Linked DNA regions of Arabidopsis thaliana. The protein of the gene in region 1 binds, or shares a complex with, the protein of each later gene. Each region holds a gene or a part of one and is shown in the gene's direction. Other genes may lie near its edges. The genes, in order: RS2Z32, SMU2, SKIP and U2B''.

What was found.
Region 2: RS2Z32 (region 1) and SMU2 share a complex: the UniProt entries of both Arabidopsis thaliana proteins name them as parts of the spliceosome.
Region 3: RS2Z32 (region 1) and SKIP share a complex: the UniProt entries of both Arabidopsis thaliana proteins name them as parts of the spliceosome.
Region 4: RS2Z32 (region 1) and U2B'' share a complex: the UniProt entries of both Arabidopsis thaliana proteins name them as parts of the spliceosome.

The regions. Positions count from the first base shown.
Region 1 is NC_003074.8:19,833,729-19,838,704, reverse strand, and holds RS2Z32 (RNA-binding (RRM/RBD/RNP motifs) family protein with retrovirus zinc finger-like domain-containing protein), read left to right. Parts: upstream 1-1,616; 5' UTR 1,617-1,772; intron 1,773-2,190; 5' UTR 2,191-2,197; coding exon 2,198-2,304; exon of another isoform or gene 2,305-2,792; coding exon 2,793-2,832; intron 2,833-2,949; coding exon 2,950-3,045; intron 3,046-3,141; coding exon 3,142-3,335; intron 3,336-3,423; coding exon 3,424-3,525; intron 3,526-3,832; coding exon 3,833-4,148; 3' UTR 4,149-4,465; downstream 4,466-4,976. Other genes in the region: ABCG20 (ABC-2 type transporter family protein), read left to right, coding at 1-1,403; AT3G53490 (valine-tRNA ligase), read right to left, coding at 4,681-4,910. UniProt on the Arabidopsis thaliana protein: Probably involved in intron recognition and spliceosome assembly.
Region 2 is NC_003071.7:11,254,387-11,260,809, reverse strand, and holds SMU2 (RED family protein), read left to right. Parts: upstream 1-1,739; 5' UTR 1,740-1,896; coding exon 1,897-1,943; intron 1,944-2,034; coding exon 2,035-2,175; intron 2,176-2,270; coding exon 2,271-2,320; intron 2,321-2,397; coding exon 2,398-2,512; intron 2,513-2,587; coding exon 2,588-2,636; intron 2,637-2,737; coding exon 2,738-2,827; intron 2,828-3,376; coding exon 3,377-3,445; intron 3,446-3,852; coding exon 3,853-3,976; intron 3,977-4,457; coding exon 4,458-4,864; intron 4,865-5,007; coding exon 5,008-5,391; intron 5,392-5,479; coding exon 5,480-5,761; 3' UTR 5,762-5,878; downstream 5,879-6,423. Other genes in the region: AT2G26470 (embryonic stem cell-specific 5-hydroxymethylcytosine-binding protein), read left to right, coding at 320-429, 510-575, 727-1,494. UniProt on the Arabidopsis thaliana protein: Auxiliary spliceosomal protein involved in splicing of specific pre-mRNAs that affect multiple aspects of development.
Region 3 is NC_003070.9:28,999,049-29,003,818, reverse strand, and holds SKIP (chromatin protein family), read left to right. Parts: upstream 1-1,683; 5' UTR 1,684-1,855; intron 1,856-1,978; exon of another isoform or gene 1,979-2,154; 5' UTR 2,155-2,186; coding exon 2,187-4,028; 3' UTR 4,029-4,242; downstream 4,243-4,770. Other genes in the region: AT1G77170 (Tetratricopeptide repeat (TPR)-like superfamily protein), read left to right, coding at 4,283-4,770. UniProt on the Arabidopsis thaliana protein: Splicing factor involved in post-transcriptional regulation of circadian clock and flowering time genes. Associates with the pre-mRNA of PRR7, PRR9, ELF3 and GI, and is necessary for the regulation of their alternative splicing and mRNA maturation.
Region 4 is NC_003071.7:12,904,845-12,909,362, reverse strand, and holds U2B'' (U2 small nuclear ribonucleoprotein B), read left to right. Parts: upstream 1-1,697; 5' UTR 1,698-1,928; coding exon 1,929-2,001; intron 2,002-2,340; coding exon 2,341-2,513; intron 2,514-3,113; coding exon 3,114-3,207; intron 3,208-3,320; coding exon 3,321-3,409; coding exon of another isoform or gene 3,410-3,469; exon of another isoform or gene 3,470-3,536; coding exon 3,537-3,806; 3' UTR 3,807-4,018; downstream 4,019-4,518. Other genes in the region: AT2G30270 (LURP-one-like protein (DUF567)), read left to right, coding at 306-527, 718-918, 1,211-1,336; WRKY25 (WRKY DNA-binding protein 25), read left to right, coding at 4,274-4,510. UniProt on the Arabidopsis thaliana protein: Involved in nuclear pre-mRNA splicing.

The DNA.
Region 1 (4,976 bases):
TTCTCGATGAGCCAACTTCTGGTCTTGACTCTACCAGTGCATACATGGTTGTCAAAGTGCTTCAGAGAATCGCACAAAGCGGCAGCATAGTTATCATGTCCATCCATCAGCCGAGTTACAGAATCTTGGGATTACTCGATAAGTTAATCTTCCTATCTAGGGGAAACACCGTTTACAGCGGCTCCCCGACACACCTCCCTCAGTTCTTCTCAGAATTCGGTCACCCAATTCCTGAAAACGAGAACAAGCCGGAGTTTGCACTCGATCTTATCCGTGAGCTGGAAGATTCGCCAGAAGGAACGAAATCCTTAGTCGAGTTCCACAAGCAATGGCGAGCAAAGCAAACCTCAAGCCAGAGCAGAAGAAACACCAATGTATCTCTCAAAGATGCAATCAGCGCAAGTATCTCGAGAGGTAAGCTTGTCTCCGGAGCAACAAACCTAAGATCATCATTTCAAACCTTTGCAAACCCATTCTGGACTGAAATGCTCGTAATTGGTAAACGATCTATACTAAACTCAAGAAGACAACCAGAGCTATTCGGAATCCGCCTAGGAGCTGTACTAGTCACCGGAATGATCCTAGCCACAATATTCTGGAAACTAGACAATTCACCAAGAGGTATACAAGAACGCTTAGGGTTCTTCGCATTCGCAATGTCCACAACATTCTACACATGTGCAGAAGCAATACCAGTCTTTCTACAGGAACGTTACATATTCATGAGAGAAACAGCTTACAACGCTTACCGGCGATCATCATACGTCCTCGCTCACACAATAATCTCCATCCCTGCTCTCATAATCTTATCCGCCGCATTCGCCGCCTCAACATTCTCGGCCGTAGGACTCGCCGGAGGCTCCGAGGGATTCCTCTTCTTCTTCTTCACAATCCTCACCGCGTTTTGGGCCGGAAGTTCCTTCGTGACGTTCTTATCCGGCGTAGTCTCACACGTGATGATCGGATTCACGGTGGTTGTAGCAATCCTCGCTTATTTCCTCCTCTTCTCCGGATTCTTCATCTCTAGAGATCGAATCCCACTCTACTGGATCTGGTTCCATTACCTCTCCCTAGTGAAATACCCTTACGAAGGTGTTCTACAGAACGAATTCGAAGATCCGACGAAATGCTTCGTCAGAGGGATCCAGATGTTCGACAATTCGCCGCTGGGACAAGTTCCAACCGCCGTGAAAATCAGCCTCCTGAAGAGCATGAGCGGCGTTTTGGGGATCAACGTGACGGCGGAGACTTGCGTAACGACGGGAATCGATATACTGAAACAGCAAGGAATCACGGAGATAAGCAAATGGAATTGCTTGTGGATCACTGTAGCTTGGGGATTCTTCTTTAGGGTTCTCTTCTACTTCACACTCTTGATCGGAAGCAAGAACAAGCGTCGCTGATTTACAAAACAGAAAATTATTAGAGTAACTTGACCAATGATTATGATGTACTTAATACTTATGATTAATACGAAATTGCATATGTTTGCTAAATCTTTAATGGGCTTTAGAGTTGATATAAGGCCCAATAAAAGTACTAAATTGGAAAGTGTGCAATTTTCTATTTTCTATATCGGTAATATCGACGTTTATCTCGCCGTGAAATCTAAACCGTTGATTGAAACAAATCGCTACCGTTGAATCTCGTCGGTTTCCAAGTTATAAGATAGGGGTTGAAGACTAATCGCAGTATCATCCGCGGTTCACTTCCTTCGTTTCGAAATTATTAGGGTTACTGCGTATTTGCACTCTCCTTCTTCGTCTCTCCAGGTACGAGGAAGAATCTTTGTAATTGGATCTGTTTAGGGTTACGATTTTATTGTTCTTCGCTCTCTAGATTAGGGATTTCAATTGGTTTCTCGTTTCCTCGCCGTAGATTTCCTTTATAGGTTTCCTTCTGTCTAATCTGATTAGAGATTTATATTCTCCCCTCACGAAATTTTCTTCTTTTCGCCTCTGAATGTGTTATTCAGTTTGGTTTCTTTGTTTTTGGATTTGTGTTCTGCTGAAAAATCATAGATATTCACATGGGTTCTATGTTTAGGTCTGAGGTAGTGTTTTAACTCTCTGGTCTTTTTCTTGTTTATATAATTTGAAGAGGATACTGTTATTCTTTTTCTTGTGATTGGCATATATATATATATATATACATATGTGCCTAATAGCTTATGTTAAAAATATTTTGCAGCTTGACAATGCCTCGCTATGATGATCGCTATGGAAACACTCGCCTCTATGTTGGTCGCTTATCATCTAGAACTCGTACCAGAGACCTTGAGCGTCTCTTTAGCAGATACGGAAGGTAAAGAGTCATATTCCTTTGTCTTGACTGACCTAATTTGACTTTTGTATTCTTGGGGAGATAAGTGTTTGGATTTTTTGTTAATTGTTCTTTGGTGTGAATCTGGAATGATTCCTCTTTGATGTTGTGCAGGGGATATATACCTAAAGTTTAACATTAGAATCAAAGAGGGTAGTTTTTACTTATAACGTTGCATTGGTACATGTGGGAAAATTGTGGAGCTAGGTTTAGTGGATTTTTTTTTCTTTAACTTGAATGATCTTGTTGAAGGTTTCTGGGGGTTTGCCTAACCTGGAGATGTTTGATGAATGGGTGGACTGTGGTGTAATTGGTGGAAATTCTCGTCTGGTGTATAGAGGGTGCATCGGCGATTTTGTTTGTTGATTTATTGCATGTTTTTATTGGAAATGGCCTCAAATCTCAAAAACTGGTGTTTGGAAGTTCCTTAAGTAATGATGGCCTTGATTTTCTGGCAACAATTTACGCAGAGTACGAGATGTGGATATGAAGCGTGATTATGCCTTTGTTGTAAGTCTTATATTACCCTTTTCCTTTATTCAAGCGTTTGATTCTCAAGTTTGTCATGCGCACAAACTTTATATATATGTTATGCATCTATCATTGTCCCTCACATTTTGAGAACAGGAATTTAGTGATCCTCGTGATGCTGATGACGCAAGATATTACTTGGATGGACGGGATTTCGATGGAAGTCGCATCACTGTGGAGGCATCAAGAGGGGTTAGTTATTTGTGTCTGTATTACCGATTCTCCATTGGCTTGATAATTTGGATGAAAAATTACTGATATCTTGCCAAACTTTTGAATTTATGATAGGCTCCTCGTGGTTCGCGGGACAATGGTAGCAGAGGCCCACCTCCTGGTTCTGGTCGCTGTTTTAATTGTGGTGTCGATGGCCACTGGGCCCGAGACTGCACAGCAGGAGACTGGAAGAATAAATGTTACCGCTGTGGTGAAAGAGGACACATTGAGAGAAACTGCAAAAACAGTCCTAGTCCAAAGAAGGCCAGGTACTAAATCTTTGAATCTTTGTTTTTCCACAGTTTGTTCTATTCTTTAAGCTTCTTCTCATATCTCTTTTGGATTATAATTCTCCAGGCAGGGTGGAAGCTATTCCAGGTCACCAGTCAAATCCCGCTCCCCTCGTCGCCGAAGGAGCCCAAGCCGTAGCCGTAGTTACAGTCGAGGTCGCAGCTACAGGTCAGTTGTGAATTTGGACTTCTCGAAAATTGTCTTATAAATGCAAATACGGAATACAATAGGAGAGCCACCAAAAAACTTACCTAGAAATTCATATTTTGAGCTTCATATGTGGGGTAAAAAGCTTAGAGCAATTCTGAGCTTTTTCTGGAACTATATTAGTTTGATCTTTAAGCATGTCCCGTAGACAACTATTTTCCCTTAATATTGTAGAAATGATTCGTACTTTGTAGCTATTAAGTATGTTGACAACGCTAATTCCATGGCTTATGCCCTTTGGTTGACTCTTTATTTCTCTGTTCATCAGTCGATCGCGATCCCCAGTGAGAAGAGAGAAAAGCGTGGAGGACAGATCACGCAGTCCTAAGGCAATGGAGCGATCTGTATCTCCCAAAGGTAGGGACCAAAGCCTGAGTCCAGACCGAAAAGTGATAGATGCAAGCCCAAAGCGTGGATCAGACTATGATGGTAGCCCAAAAGAGAATGGTAATGGCAGGAACTCTGCGAGTCCCATTGTTGGAGGTGGTGAAAGTCCTGTTGGACTTAATGGTCAAGACAGGAGCCCGATTGATGATGAGGCTGAGCTTAGCCGTCCTTCCCCTAAAGGCAGTGAGTCACCTTGATGGTTCACAGGTTAAAAGCTCTATGTAGCATTCTGTACTGAAGGATGTTGTTTCCTTTCCCTTTCTTTCTGCGTGATACTTTTCTTTTCGTTGCGTGACAATCCTGGATGTTACTTTGCCTTCTCTCTTGATGACTCTTGGTTTGTTTTCCGACAACTTTCAAACTCTGCGATGTTACTTTTCATTGTTTAGTAAGAATCATGCATTTATGAAATTCTCGCTTGTGGATCGTTTAGTAAAGAATAAAGCACCTCGTAATGTCTTTTTTGGCAAAAAAAAAATTTGGTAAGTAAAGGAAAAAGGATTTAACTATCGCAGTCTGGGTTTCTTTTAGCCTCTTTAATTGTTAAACAGTTATGACAAAAGAAATAACAACATTGACTTTTCTTTGGATGAAGCAACTGCTTGTATGTATCATTGTACCCCTTTCCTCTCTATGTCCGACAAAAACAAAAATGCTTGTGAGGAGGATCAAGACGTTTTGTATGTATGTACATAAACTTTGAATTACTGTGGCACATTAAACTTGGCTTCATAGGGTATTTTCAAGGCCAAGTTCGTCCTCAATATCGTCACCATCTTCGAACAGCTTGAGAAACCGGGCCTGCTCTTGTTGCCGTTTCTTCTTTCTCCAATACTTGTAACCTACCAAGAGTCCCACCGCAACTACACCTAACAAGAGTACTACAATCAGTACCACAATTCCAGGATGCATTCCGCCCTTTTGTTCTTCCTTCTCGGTGCCTGATTCTTTATTCGAACCTGCCAAAAGAAAAAGAATGCATATGAATATGATAGTCCTAATCACAGAGAACAGATTCAAACTGA
Region 2 (6,423 bases), on another chromosome or scaffold:
TTAAAATGAGGTTTAATCAAACCCGCACATTAATAAAGATACAAACTTATCATAGTAGTATGAGTTGTTTCTGTTTTCGTATTACATCTGATTTGATAAGCTCTTTTAGAAAAGATACATATGTAATTGCATGAGAATCTTTAACTTCTTTAAGTACTGGAATAGAACAAGCAGTGGCTGTTTAAGGTAGTTTAATATTGAGAGTAGCGTTTCTTATACAATGCTTACATTATTAGCGGCTGTTGATGATTGTTTTGTTGATTTGCAGCAGCCCTGAATTTTTGTGTTAACACGTGAGTTTGTTTATTTTTCATGTAAGACAGAATGCCTGTAATTCTTGGTGATAAGGATTCAATCGACACATGGTTAGATGATCCCTCGACAACGAAACTGCAGCCATTACTTTCACCATATGAAAAATCGGATTTGGTATGCAATTGCTTACTTCCTCGCATATAAGAGTGGTCTTTCCTTTTTCATTTACTTGAGATTGAAGTTTGAACTTTCAGGTATGGTATCCAGTAACCTCTGCAATTGGTAAACCAACGTTTGATGGACCAGAGTGTATTCAACAGGTACGGTTAACATCTTTCCCTTTCTTAGTAGTGTACAACTCAAATCTCAAGTTTGATCTCAAGTCGCATTAAACATATTGTCAGGATCACTATGTATTTGTACAGTCTGTATGCTTATTGTCATTTCAAATAAGGATTATGCCACCTGCAGATACCGCTAAAGACTTCACAAAATAGCTTGATCTCGAAGTTTTTCTCAACAAAGCAGCCCAAAACAGATGAAGGAGACAAAGAAACCAAATCAACAGATGCAAATATCATAGTTGATTTGAAAAAGGAACCTACGGCTGAAAAGGACACGTTTTCTGACAGCATTAAGAAAATTGAAGAACTAGACGGGGAGAAAGATATGTCGAATGTAGCCAAAAATCTGGAGTTTCAAGAGATTGTGAAAGCAGAACCATTTGTTGAAGATAACTCAGCAGTTGCGTCACTTCCTGAACCTGTAAAGAATGATGTTCAGGAGGGTACAAAGGAAGAAGGCAAATCCCTAAAGACTGGTCTTACTAAAGAAACAGGTGAGAGCAGTGCCAGTATACCGGCTGAGTCCTACATCCTTGATCTCCAAAGAATCTCAAAAGAAGAACCCGAGACTCAAAGCCATCATTTCTTTACTGCAGATGAGAGATTGAATCAGCTGCATGAGGCTGTCGAAGATATTCCAGGAAATGAAAACCAGAAGACAGTTTTAACTAGCCCGACGACGAAGGAAGGTGGCTTAGTGTTTAGCGAAAAGAGTGGGACAAAGCGAGACTATGAGGTATTCTCAGCTCAAGAAAAGCCACAGAAACACTATGAGAGGTTGCAAAATGTTAAAAGCAGTGGGAAACAAGGAAAGATGCATGGAATGGGGAAATCTAACATCAAGAAATCTAAGGAGACGCAGTCTACATTACATTTCTTTTTCGATGAGAAATAGTTTTGAGTCTACATAACATCTATGAGGACCATGTTGGCCTACTTTTGTTGTAGATAATGTTAGATAAGACCATCGTTTTGGGAATGTTGCTTGTATTGTATGTGTAGTGTTTGATCTTTGATCTAAGGTAATATTATTATGAATGAATTGGGTTTTTAATGTCCTTGGTGGATGGTAAAAATTTGTGAACCAGGTTTCGATAATCAAACCCGGTCGCTAAACGATTTTATCGGTTTAAATTAGATCCGGTTTCTAAATTAAACATCGAATTCTAATTTCCCCTGACCAGAACCACCAACGCTTTGAAATCGAAACAGACACAGATATCATCAGAACGAAGAACTTCAGCCAAAATCTGATTTTTCTCTGTTTCACGACAAGAAATCGAATTAACGAAATCTAATGAAACCTTCAAAATCGCATCACAAGGAGAAAACCGCTCGTCGGAGGTCAGAAATCTTCATTTTCCTCTCTCCCCTTTTCTTCAAAAGCTAGGGTTTTTACACAAAAACATCAAAACTCGTCACTTTTCCTTCACAGAGAGGAGAAACTAGAGGAATCCGATAATCCAAAATACAGAGATCGTGCTAAAGAAAGAAGAGAGAATCAAAATCCTGATTATGATCCATCAGAGCTTAGTTCTTTCCATGCCGTTGCTCCTCCCGGAGCTGTCGATATCCGGTAGCACTTGTCTTTCCTCGATTACTTCATTATCTTTCTAAATTCTAATTGGGTTTCTCTAAATTTCTGTTGCTGTGTACTTTTTTTTGTTGTAGTGCTGCTGATGCACTTAAGATATCTATTGAGAACAGCAAATATCTTGGAGGTTTGTGTTAGGTTTACAAATTTATTCAAAATGTTTTTTTTTTGAGGTGCTTATGTTGTTTTTATGATATGGTTTAGGTGATGTTGAACATACCCATTTAGTTAAGGGTTTGGATTATGCTTTGTTGAATAAAGTACGAAGCGAAATCGTTAAGAAACCTGATGGTGAAGATGGTGATGGTGGGAAGACTAGGTAGATTTGGTTATACTTGGTTTATTGACTCATTTGGCTTCTTTGATTCAAGTGCTAATTTTACTATATTAACAGTGCGCCTAAGGAAGATCAGCGAGTTACTTTCCGTACCATAGCTGCAAAGGTATGCAATTTTGTTCTGAACTTTGCAGATGAGGAGCAAGTTTTGGGATGTAGTTAACGCGCTTGATGTTTTTTGTTTCTCTTGTCTTTGATCTGTTTCAGTCAGTTTACCAGTGGATTGTTAAGCCTCAGACTATCATCAAGTCTAATGAGATGTTTCTTCCCGGTAGAATGACATTTGTCTATGATATGGTATTGCTTGTTAACTCTTTTTCAGGAAGATTCAATCTTATTACATGTTCTTATGTCGTTGTTTGTCTTAGGAAGTAGTCATACATGTGTATTCTGCTTCAACGATTCTTCTTCGAGTATTAGTTAATATTTAGTTAAATCTTCGCTTCTAGTTTAAATACATGTCTCAGGAAAATTTTAAGAAGGTAGCTTAAGCTGTTTTGCATTACCTTGTTAGCGATTTATTCACGATTTAATCTATTTGTTAGAAACCTTATACGCAGAATTGGTTGTAAAGGTTTTTTAGTTCGATTAACGTGTCTGCTCTTCTTGAAGAAGCATATTCTTTTTCTCTTGCAGATAGAGACACCATACGACAAGAAAAGTCAGTTGAATATACTATTGATATTTGGTAGTGTTACGTATGAAGTTTCCTTTGAGATACTTAGTCTCAGCTAAGCTGCTAGGCTAAGCTTATAGTATGGGTTTAGTCTGCCCTTTGAAAGCCTCCCTGTTGATGTATATTAATTTTATTCCCTTTTGTTTTTAATTCTATTTGTTGCTTTTCAGGAAGGTGGCTATACCCATGACATACCGACCACGTTATATAGGAGTAAAGCTGACTGCCCGGTGCCCGAGGTATGTATACTTAGAGTCCTTGTTGTAATAGTCTTCTTGATCCTGGAAAAATCTTTAGACTGTAAGCAGTGATGTGACATGATCGTTTTGATTCTAATGAAAATAAGCCCACTCTGCCTGTCTCTGCAACCTATTTTCTTTTACAGTGTTGATGTATTCAATACAGCTAATATCGATTATATAAGTCATTAGTTTTGGTAGAAGCATAGATTTTCTTTAAGTAATTATAAAAATCTTTTTAAACTAAATTCAACTTTCTTTCTACTAATCTGGAACCAAAATTAACGTTGCTTAATATGTTTGTTTACTGAACATAATAAAAATTTATAATTGAAATCACTGCTGCAATTTTTGCGAGAATTGTTTCATTTAACAGGCACTGTTTCTCTGTCCTATCTCCCCAACAGGAATTTGTCACAGTCAATGTTGATGGTTCTGTGCTAGATCGAATTGCTAAAATCATGTCATATCTTCGCCTTGGGTCGTCGGGGAAAGTTCTCAAGAAGAAAAAGAAAGAAAAAGATGGGAAAGGTATTTTGCATCTACTGGTGCATTTTTTTGTAAAGTTTAAGTATTAGCAGACCTGATTCACTTACACTGGTTAAATAAGTTCTCTGCTTTTCCCGAAATTTGTTAATTATCTGGTCTTACAGTTTGGAGCCAAGAATGTAAAGAGTGTACCTAGTCTTTGACCACAGTACTAGTAGTATCTACTGATGTCTGGTTGTGTTCTCGCTTATCAATTGTGAAGAAATTTAGTTGTATCATAAATATGTTGCTGCCGTCCCTTGATGGTTCTGTAAACTCTGTTGTTAGTAATTTTTATTATGCTAATGTGGTGCCAGTACATGTTGTAGTTCTTGTTTCACATCAGCATACAATTGGATACAAGTTGGCTGGTTTCTGATTCTTTAGCAAGATAATTTGCTAATTTCTATTCTATCATACGTTCATGCATTTTTTATATTATTTTGCCTTATTAATCACATCCACTGCAACTTTTCAAATGCAGGAAAGATGTCAACTATTGCTAATGATTATGATGAAGACGACAATAAATCTAAGATTGAGAATGGATCTTCTGTGAACATAAGTGACAGGGAAGTTTTACCTCCTCCTCCGCCATTACCACCTGGGATAAACCATCTGGATTTGAGTACGAAACAAGAAGAACCCCCTGTTGCCAGGACAGACGATGATGACATATTTGTTGGTGAAGGCGTCGATTACACGGTTCCTGGTAAAGATGTGACACAGAGTCCTATTTCTGAGGACATGGAAGAATCTCCCAGGGATAAGGAGAAAGTATCTTATTTCGATGAGCCTGCTTATGGTCCAGTGCAGGAGAAGGTACCTTATTTCGCTGAGCCTGCTTATGGTCCAGTGCAGCCATCTGCTGGTCAGGAATGGCAAGATATGGTCAGTTCACCCTAGCTAATCCTTGGTTGTATTTATTCTCAAATCTTGATCCTCGTCTGCAAATTTTGCGTCTTGGTATGTAGTTATTAGATGTCATTTATTCCCATATTTAGGTTTTTTCTGGTGGTTGTGTGTTTTTCCAGAGTGCATATGGTGCAATGCAAACTCAAGGACTGGCTCCTGGGTACCCCGGAGAGTGGCAGGAATACCAATATGCAGAGCAAACTGGGTATCAGGAGCAGTACCTTCAACCTGGAATGGAGGGTTACGAGGTCCAACCAGAAACCGATGTTTTACTAGATCCTCAACTCATGTCGCAGGAAGAGAAAGATAGGGGTTTGGGATCGGTTTTCAAGCGTGATGACCAAAGGCTTCAACAGTTGAGGGAGAGTGACGCAAGGGAGAAAGATCCAACTTTTGTATCCGAGAGTTATTCAGAGTGTTATCCAGGTTACCAAGAGTACAACCATGAGATTGTCGGTAGTGATGAAGAACCTGATTTGTCTAAAATGGACATGGGTGGAAAGGTATGCCCTGACTTAATTACATGTTCCTTGTTATTTATTGTGGAAGAGCAAAATTACAGTATCTGGTTGTTGAATGTACATGGAACAGGCAAAGGGTGGTTTACATCGATGGGACTTTGAGACAGAAGAGGAATGGGAAAAATATAATGAGCAGAAGGAAGCGATGCCAAAAGCGGCGTTCCAATTCGGGGTAAAGATGCAAGATGGTCGAAAGACAAGGAAGCAGAACCGTGACCGTGACCAGAAGCTCAATAATGAACTTCACCAGATCAATAAGATACTTACGAGAAAGAAGATGGAGAAGGAGGGTGGGGATGTTGCTTCTTTGGATGCCGCCGAGGCACAAACTCCTAAGAGATCCAAGCATTGATTTGTCTCTTGTCTACTCCAGTCATTCTCTCGTAATCTATTTTGTATCTTCAAGTCTGTTTAGGTTTTTGGTACCTTGAGTTCAAATTCTTAATTTAGAAAAGATTTTACGTCCAAATTTTGAAATGATAGCATTCTTATTTCCTAATTACCCATTAAACACGAAGCAGTTTTGGGAGTTGGGACAGCCTTAGGTTTTAGGTTTAGCATCACCAAAAATGAGACGCTTCAGTAACCAACCCAACAAGACAAGCAAAAAACTAGAAAAATCATAAAACCCTAATCAGAAAAATGGCCACAGATTCCATGAATGCAGCCACCGTCAATGACTCCGACCGTTTCATCTTCTCCACACCTCTCTCCGCTCGTGGTTCAACCAAACGTGACGCCATCTCCGTCGAGGATCTTGGCCAATACACTCTTCTCAAACTCCATTCAAATCCGGTTTCACAAACTACATAGATCTTGGCCAATACAACGACGAAGATGACGATGTAAGAATCCTCTGTTTCACACCAATCTCCATAGAAAAGGGACAGTCCTCTGTTTGACCAATACAACGACGAAGACGCTCTTTCGACTGCGAGATATGTGTTGAACGAAAACCAAGGATTGAATCTTTTCGAATCAATGGCTGTTCTCACACTTATTGCAACGATTGTG
Region 3 (4,770 bases), on another chromosome or scaffold:
ATTAAAAACAATTTGTACCAGAGAAGTAAAAGATTATCGTTCTACCAAAACGAATTTGCAGGTTAAGGATTATTTATCATTTCCTCTTGTTTGACTTTGTTTGCATTAGTCAGACATAATTAATGGCTTGACCCTTAATTTAACATGTCCATGCACTAACTCATATGCAAATCCAACGATGTGAAATTTAAAACCTTTTTTTTATTCATTTTTAATCTTTGTAAAACGAACTTATATTATGTTTGAACAAATATTTTTTCATACGCAATCCTTAGATGGGGAAATTAATACCTTTGTAACAAAAAAAAAAAAAAAATGTTAAATCAACTAAGTATTGGGTGAGTCTTCTCAACGAAAACATCAATCAACACCGGCCTCATAAGTTGATTAAATTAACACATTTATTATAATCATCGTACATTGATTTGAATCAAAATTAATTGTTACGTTAATTAGTAATGCATCTAACTATCCCGTAGGAAAAGGCCATTATATTGGGATCCGCGGTCAACGGAGGTTCCACCCACGAGCACGGTCTTTATTTGTTTTTTCCTTTCTCAAATATATATACGGATGTATGATTTTTTGCTTTTGGGGTTAAACAAATATGAATTACTGTGCTTAGATCAGAAATAGACACTTTTATACAAATGATTATATGATTACTGTTCATAGCATAAGCTCCTATGAAAACAAATAATAATCGCAACAGCCGTTTAACCTAATCGAATGCTGAAAAGCCCTCAAAATAGTTCATCTAATCCATGAATCGATTTAACAGAAAAAGTTGAAAATTGTATGCATATGATATACTCAAGTATATTCCGAGTTTTGAGTTGTGTAATGCAAGGAGTCAAGGACCATAGTTTGTCGTTGAACACAACCACGCCAAGTTGTCCACCAAAACTGGAAACTAACTACCATGCCGTTGTTTCCATAGAAGCAAAACCATTAACCTTCCCATTATCCCGCATGGCCACATATATGTTTAATAATATTTCTCACCATACATTTAAGTCTCTCTCGTAGTCGTTATTTACATAGCCTACGTAGTTCATTCATATCATTTTTGTTTCTTTACCTTATATCAAACAAATTGGTTGTTGATTAGAAAAACATAAATTGGTTCATTAAATATCAAACTAACGCCATCAATCTATTGTTTTTTTATAAAAAAATGAAAGAGAAGAAAGTTTGTTGATATGAAACTTACACTTGCTTTGAGTTTTGATAGACAAACCAAAGCCTAACTAGTATTTCCTCTATTGGTACTTGAATTCTGAACTTTTTCACCTTCCCTTTCGAGGTGGTTTAACAGTATACCAGTTGAGATGTACCAACACCAAATTCTTATACTTTTTTTTCTTTTAACCTTGAATTCAGTATTTTAAACGAAACTATGGGAATGTGTTTGAGACGGATTTTCATTAAGGACAATGCAAATAATTATGAGATGCTCAGAATTGTTGTATATATCAAAAAGCCAACACCTATAGTTATATATATAACTTTCTTCGATTTAAAAACAATAAGTCGCTTTGGCCGAGTGGTTAAGGCGTGTGCCTGCTAAGTACATGGGCTCTGCCCGCGAGAGTTCGAATCTCTCAGGCGACGTTATCCTTTTCGTTTTTTCGTCTATTTTTAAACCGACTTACATAGACACTGCGTATAAGACAATTGATTCCTTTTTTTTGTTGTTAATCCTATCAACCCTAGAAAAGGCTTCACGCCCGATTTCTTTTTTCCCCAGAAAAAGGCTTCACTTCCGTTCGTTGTTCTTCATCGGTCTGCGCCGCCTCGCACATCGTTTCACCTTTCTCAGAATCTCTCTTCCCGTCGATTAGTTTCCTCAGAGGTTAGCTTCTTCGATTTCTCAGATTCAATTCTGCTTTTTGCTTTCCTCCTGTTGTTTTTAGGTTTTTGTCGATCTCTATGTTCAGCGATTCCTAAACCCTACTTGTTTTCCGCTCTATTGTAGTGAATCCAACCCAGATTTTTCAGATTTTAATCGGAATTATTCGGGATCTAATGCTCGCGTCGAGTTTATCGCTAGAAAACCCTAATTTCGGAGGATCTGTCACTTTTATTATCAGAAGCTTGTTGTTGTAATTACGGATTAGGTATGTCCTGATCGTTATTGTTCTTTGTTTGCAGGTTGCGATTTGTTGAAAACCTTGATTTAGACTATGAAGTCTCTTAATGATCTTCCTGCGCCCAAATCAACCACTACCACGTATTATGATCATTCTAATGATGCTTGGTTCAAAAACCGAGTCACTGAATCCGAGACGGTGAAATCCTCCAGTATCAAATTTAAAGTGGTGCCTGCTTACCTGAATCGTCAAGGTTTACGTCCGAAGAATCCAGAGGATTTTGGCGATGGTGGTGCTTTCCCGGAGATTCATCTTCCTCAGTATCCTCTTCTTATGGGTAAGAATAAATCCAATAAGCCTGGAGCTAAGACTCTCCCTGTTACTGTCGATGCTCAGGGAAACGTGGTCTTTGACGCTATAGTGAGGCAGAATGAGAACTCGAGGAAGATTGTTTATTCTCAGCATAAGGATATTATTCCAAAGTTTCTGAAAAACGAGGGAGACTTGGGTACTGTTGTTGATGAAGAGGAGGAATTGCAGAAGGAGATTCAGGAGACTGCTGAAGAAACGAAAGCTGCCATTGAGAAGATTGTGAATGTGAGACTGAGTGCAGCGCAGCCTAGTAATATAGCAAGGCAATCGGGAGATTCACAGTACATTAAATATAAGCCATCCCAGCAATCTTCTGCCTTCAATTCTGGTGCTAAAGAGAGGATCATTAGGATGGTGGAGATGCCTGTAGATCCACTTGATCCACCAAAGTTCAAGCACAAGAGAGTCCCAAGGGCTTCTGGTTCTCCGCCTGTTCCGGTCATGCATTCACCGCCCAGGCCTGTTACCGTCAAGGACCAGCAAGACTGGAAAATCCCTCCTTGTATCTCCAATTGGAAGAATCCGAAAGGTTACACAATCCCTCTTGACAAACGTCTAGCTGCTGATGGAAGGGGCCTACAAGACGTTCAGATCAATGATAACTTTGCCAAGTTATCAGAGGCCCTCTATGTAGCTGAGCAGAAAGCTAGAGAGGCTGTTTCAATGCGTTCCAAGGTGCAAAAAGAGATGGTGATGAAGGACAAGGAAAGGAAAGAGCAGGAATTGAGGGCTCTTGCCCAAAAAGCTCGCTCCGAAAGAACCGGTGCTGCTATGAGTATGCCTGTCTCATCTGACAGGGGTAGGAGTGAAAGTGTTGACCCAAGAGGTGATTATGACAACTATGACCAGGATAGAGGAAGGGAAAGAGAAAGGGAAGAGCCTCAAGAGACGAGGGAGGAGAGGGAAAAAAGGATTCAGAGAGAAAAGATACGAGAAGAGCGTCGCAGGGAAAGAGAGAGGGAGAGAAGGTTGGATGCCAAAGATGCTGCCATGGGGAAGAAGAGCAAGATCACCAGAGACAGAGACCGTGACATCAGTGAGAAAGTTGCTCTTGGAATGGCATCTACTGGAGGAAAAGGTGGTGGTGAAGTTATGTATGATCAACGTCTGTTTAACCAAGACAAAGGAATGGACTCTGGTTTCGCTGCTGATGACCAATACAACTTATACGACAAAGGCTTGTTCACTGCACAACCAACTCTTTCGACTTTGTACAAGCCAAAGAAGGATAACGATGAAGAAATGTATGGAAACGCTGATGAGCAGCTCGATAAGATCAAGAATACTGAGAGGTTTAAGCCTGACAAAGCTTTCACAGGGGCTTCAGAGAGGGTGGGTAGTAAGAGAGACCGACCTGTTGAGTTTGAGAAGGAAGAGGAACAAGATCCTTTCGGTCTTGAGAAGTGGGTTTCTGATTTAAAGAAGGGTAAGAAACCTTTGGACAAGATCGGGTCTGGTGGAACTATGAGAGCAAGTGGCGGTGGTGGTAGCTCTTCAAGGGACGATGACCACGGCGGTTCTGGTCGAACCAAGATCAATTTCGAACGCAGTGACCGGCGTTAAAAGTCAAGACAAAGAAAAAGCTCAGTAACTGATCTTTGATTTCAATATATAACTTGTTATTTTGGATCTGTTAAAACAGTTTGCTTTGGATTATCAGTATTTATGTTGTTGTGAGTCTCTTAAACTACTCGAATACAATCTTTCAGCTTCATAATATCAGATCTTTTGAGCTTATTTTAGTTTCTTTTTCACTGTTACAACTTTGTGTACTTAAGAATCTTAGTTTTGAATCAGGACAACAACAAAAAAGACACATGTTCTTCTCTGGTCTTATCTCCAAGCTTCATGTTCATGGTACTAAGAGAACAAATCACTTCACGATCTTTCACCGTTTGAATCATTTCGTCACTACATCATCTTCCTCGGTTACGCCTCTTTCGCCTCAAGATCGAAACAAACTCTTAGCTACTCTGTTATCAAACTGCACTAGCCTAGCTCGTGTTCGTCGGATCCATGGTGACATCTTCCGTTCACGAATCCTCGATCAATATCCGATCGCTTTCTTATGGAACAACATCATGCGATCTTACATTCGCCATGAGTCTCCTCTCGATGCAATTCAAGTATATCTCGGTATGGTGAGATCGACTGTTTTACCCGATCGATATTCTCTTCCGATTGTAATCAAAGCAGCCGTTCAAATTCATGATTTTACGTTGGGAAAGGAGCTTCATTCCGTCGCCGTTAGGTTAGGGTTCGTCGGAGATGAGTTCTGCGAGAGTGGGTTCATTACATTGTATTG
Region 4 (4,518 bases), on another chromosome or scaffold:
TACTTTTTAGTTTTTTTTTTTGCATTTCAGTTTTGTGTGAAAAAAAAAACAAGAATTGGTATCTCAAGAACGTAAAAGAAAATTATCATTACTATTTTATTATCTTTGGCTTCTACATCCAATTATTTACTTGCTTAATTTTATTCATCTGAATTATTTTTTGGTGTAAGAAGAATGTTTCGCCGCAAAAAAAAAAATCTGATCCGACATCATTAGAACAAAAAAAAACATTGGCGTTGAATATAAGCTGCTTCTCTTGTTCTTCTTCTACCTTACGCTTCTGACTGTTATTAGAGACTATGTAAATGGCTGATTCCGAGACTCCGTATCACCCCGACCCTGAGGATCTCCGGCGTATACCAGTCGATCTCTTCGCTTCCAAAAAGCTTCCCGGACTTTCCTCCGGCGATCTCGGATTTGCCGATTCTTCCGAACATCTCGTCTTCATCCTCCGCAAATCTTCTTCCTCCTTGAAATCTCTCCTTGATTCCTCCGGAGTTCCTCTCTTCTCCATCTCTCGTCTCCACGTAAGCCTCCTTCGTCCCAAATTTCATCGATTTTGGCAATTCTCATCGCTACTTGTTTAAATCTCATTATTCATTACATAGTCCACACGATGTTTATACTTTTTGATTGTTTGGGTTTTGTTAGTTAGTCACTGGCTTGAGATATATCATAAGAACACTTACAGATCTTTGTATATGTATTGGAATGTAGAATGGAGTGTGGGAATTACATAAAGGAGATGTGGAAAAGCGTAAGGATTTGGTTCTAACGGTGAAGCGGACATCGAAAAGATTCAGTAAGACAGAGTCAGAGGTCTCTTTTGCTGGAGAATCGTCCGAAAATCTTGTTATCAAAGGTGTTCCCTTTCAGAAATCTTGTACCATTTATAGTCAAGATTCCATTGTTGCACAGGTAAAGATACTCATCTTCTCCCAATTACAGCACTATTGAACATTCTATAGCTAGACAAGAGTCAATACCGTGTTATACTGGTTTTGATTACCGGGTTCAAAACTCATCGTTTGGATCATGCTTGCTGATGGATAAACAACCAACCCTTTGTTTCGTTCATTTGAAGTCGGATTCATTAGGCTTGTAAAATTTGCTTGGATTCTAATACACTTGTTTTAAAGATTTTTGTTGTTGTTGTTGTGTTTGAACATTTGCCTCAATCTGATTTATGTTCCTTTAAATGTGGTGGCAGACGAGTTTGATGTACAAGCTGAGACAGATTTACGTAGGGAGAAGCAAGTTCCGGTTAACGATATTTCCTGGATCCATCGATCATTCACTAGTAGTCGCAATGGTTGCCATATTTCTTCAAGGATGAAAGTGAAACATCCTCGATTTATTTTCTCAGTGTAAAGAAAAATGTAACACAGAAACAAAAAGGCATTTTAGTACATTGCATTTTTAATGCCTTTTGATTCAATCGGCTCACACGTGAATTGTATTATCTATCACATGAATATTGAGATATACTAAGGTCTAAGGTTAAATCTTTTTTCAGAACAAATTTGCAAGCTCAGCTGGAAAAATACAACATCATTTACATTATTTTAAAAAGTTGTTGAACATTTGAATCAAAATGATTCACAAGACTTTTGTTGGAATTTTGCAATAAAAAAATTGATCTCGAGTCTATAAAAGTCCAATCCCGACCACTCATTCTATTTCCGGTTCAATTCTGTCTAGCCGGTCAAATTCAAATCCGGTCCATCCGGTCGGCTCATTCACGTTGGTACAAAAGTTTAGGAAATCGAACCAACAAACTAAACGGCGTCGTTAAATAGTCTGATGTTGAAACGCAGCTATTTCTTTTACTCTTCTTCGTCTCTCTCATTCCCAGTTCCCACCATTAGGGCTCTCTCTAAATTCCTCAGTCTCGAGAATCTTCATCGTCTTCACGAGCTCACTCGAAGATGTTAACGGCAGATATACCACCGAATCAATCAATCTACATCCAAAACCTCAACGAAAGGATCAAGAAAGAGGGTAAACTTCTCTTCTCGTTTAATCTAATTCGTCAAGTAAATTTCCAAATTCTTAGATGTTGAAACCTCCATGAACTTCCTGTACCAATGATTCAAGCTTCTACAGTACTGAATGTTAGGGTTTTTGCTTGTTTTTAGCTTATATAGAGTGTTCGTTTCTAAATACTAGGGTTTCAGAATCGTATTGAATCTAGTGACAAGGTTATAAGGAAGATATATATGTTGGTGTTGTCTGTTTTCGCCATTGTATGGATAATTGTTATAGACGTGTGAAGTAGTGTTGGCTCAGGGCAGTATCATCAATCTCATGCTTTATCTGACTTGGTTTTTGTTTTCTCAGAATTGAAGAGATCTCTTTACTGTTTGTTCTCTCAGTTTGGGAGGATACTTGATGTGGTTGCTTTGAAGACTCCGAAGCTCCGAGGACAAGCTTGGGTTACTTTTAGTGAAGTCACTGCTGCTGGTCATGCTGTTCGTCAGATGCAAAATTTTCCCTTCTATGATAAACCAATGGTCAGTATTTCATCACTCTTGAGTATATCAATCTCTTTATAGTTTCCATGAAAGTGATCTTCTATGTGTTGTATAGATCGATAGAAGCAAATCGTTAGTGTGTTTGTGTAATTGATTACTAACAATTTGTTTTGGAACCTTTGACCTTTTTCTATTCCCAATCCATTGGTAGTCATATATGTGTTTAGATTTTGTTGCTGTTGATGAGTAACCAATGATTAGTATCCACTACCTTTTCTGTCTTGAGTATATCAATCTCTGTATAATTTCCCTGGAAGTGATATTCTGTGTGTTGTATAGATTGATTGATGCGGTAAAAGCAGAAATCCTTAGTGTGTTTATGTGATTACCAATGATTACCTTTGACTGTGTTATTCTCAATCAACATTTAGTTATATGTGTGTTTGGATTTTGTTGCTGACCTTCTCAAATCACATTCTCTTATGATTTCTGTTGTCAAAATGTTTGTTCTGTTTGATATATACATTGTTTTTATAACTAAATCTTACCTCTTTCGATTGTTTGTAAACTATTCAACTACTTCCAATCAGGTTGAGATTTATTATTATTCATACTTTTTATGTGATCTTTTAAGTGCAGCGCTTACAATATGCAAAAGCAAAGTCAGATTGTCTAGCTAAAGCTGAGGGAACTTTCGTTCCAAAAGATAAGAAGAGGAAGCAAGAAGAAAAAGGTTTTAAACTTTATTTCTTCTTTTTGCATTTTGTCGTAGATGTTGGTTCAATGATACAACTATAAAATTTTCACTTGCATCTAAAGTTAACAAACTTCCTTTCTTACTTTCAGTTGAAAGAAAGCGTGAAGATTCCCAACGACCAAACACGGCTAATGGCCCAAGTGCTAATGGTCCAAGTGCCAATAACGGAGTCCCTGCGGTAAGTGTTCTTGTTCTCACCTTCATCTTCAGAAAAATCTTCCATTGTTGGATCATGTGAACCAAACTATTGTTATCTGGAGATGATGCTGATGTTTTGCGTTTTATCTCTGCTCTTCTTAATGCAGCCTTCGTTCCAGCCGAGCGGGCAAGAAACAATGCCACCAAACAACATACTCTTCATTCAGAATCTCCCACACGAGACAACAAGCATGATGCTACAGCTTCTCTTCGAACAGTACCCTGGATTCAAAGAGATAAGAATGATCGACGCAAAACCAGGAATCGCGTTTGTAGAGTACGAAGATGATGTTCAAGCTTCCATAGCTATGCAACCTCTTCAAGGTTTCAAAATCACTCCCCAGAATCCAATGGTCATCTCTTTCGCCAAGAAATGATAAGAGTCTTGTTTTTGTTTGTTTGTTGTCCTTTAAGACGATAGTACTGGACCAACCAAACCTGGTGTGTATAACCAACCAACGGTTCTATTGGTTAACGGATTAATCCGGTTTTGGTTTAATCATTGAAAGAGACCCTTGAAACGCGGTTTCACACTTGACGATTTATCACAAATTAGGAGACGACTCATCAAAAAAGAATATCTTACTGGTCAACCATTTTATAGAAATATTAAAATCAAAAATGATATTTAGGCCAAAGTAGAAAAAGACAAGAAGAGAGAGAAACAAAAAAAACCTTGCTCAATACGCCACCGTCGTCGTCTTTAACCCAATCTAAAAGCCTCTGTTCTTTTTTAGTTTTATCCTCTTTTTCATTTCAAGATCAATTTCATAAAAAAGTTTCCTTTTTTAGCGAATCCTCTGTTTTAGAAATCTTAAAGTTGTCTCCTTTATTAAAGACCATCATGTCTTCCACTTCTTTCACCGACCTTCTTGGTTCTTCCGGCGTTGACTGTTACGAAGATGATGAAGACTTGAGAGTTTCTGGGTCGAGTTTTGGTGGGTACTATCCAGAGAGAACCGGGTCTGGTTTACCTAAGTTCAAGACGGCTCAACCACCACCTCTTCCGATTTCACAATCTTCTCATAACTTCACTTTCTCCGATTACCTTGATTCTCCTCTGCTTCTCAGCTCCTCACACGTAATAAA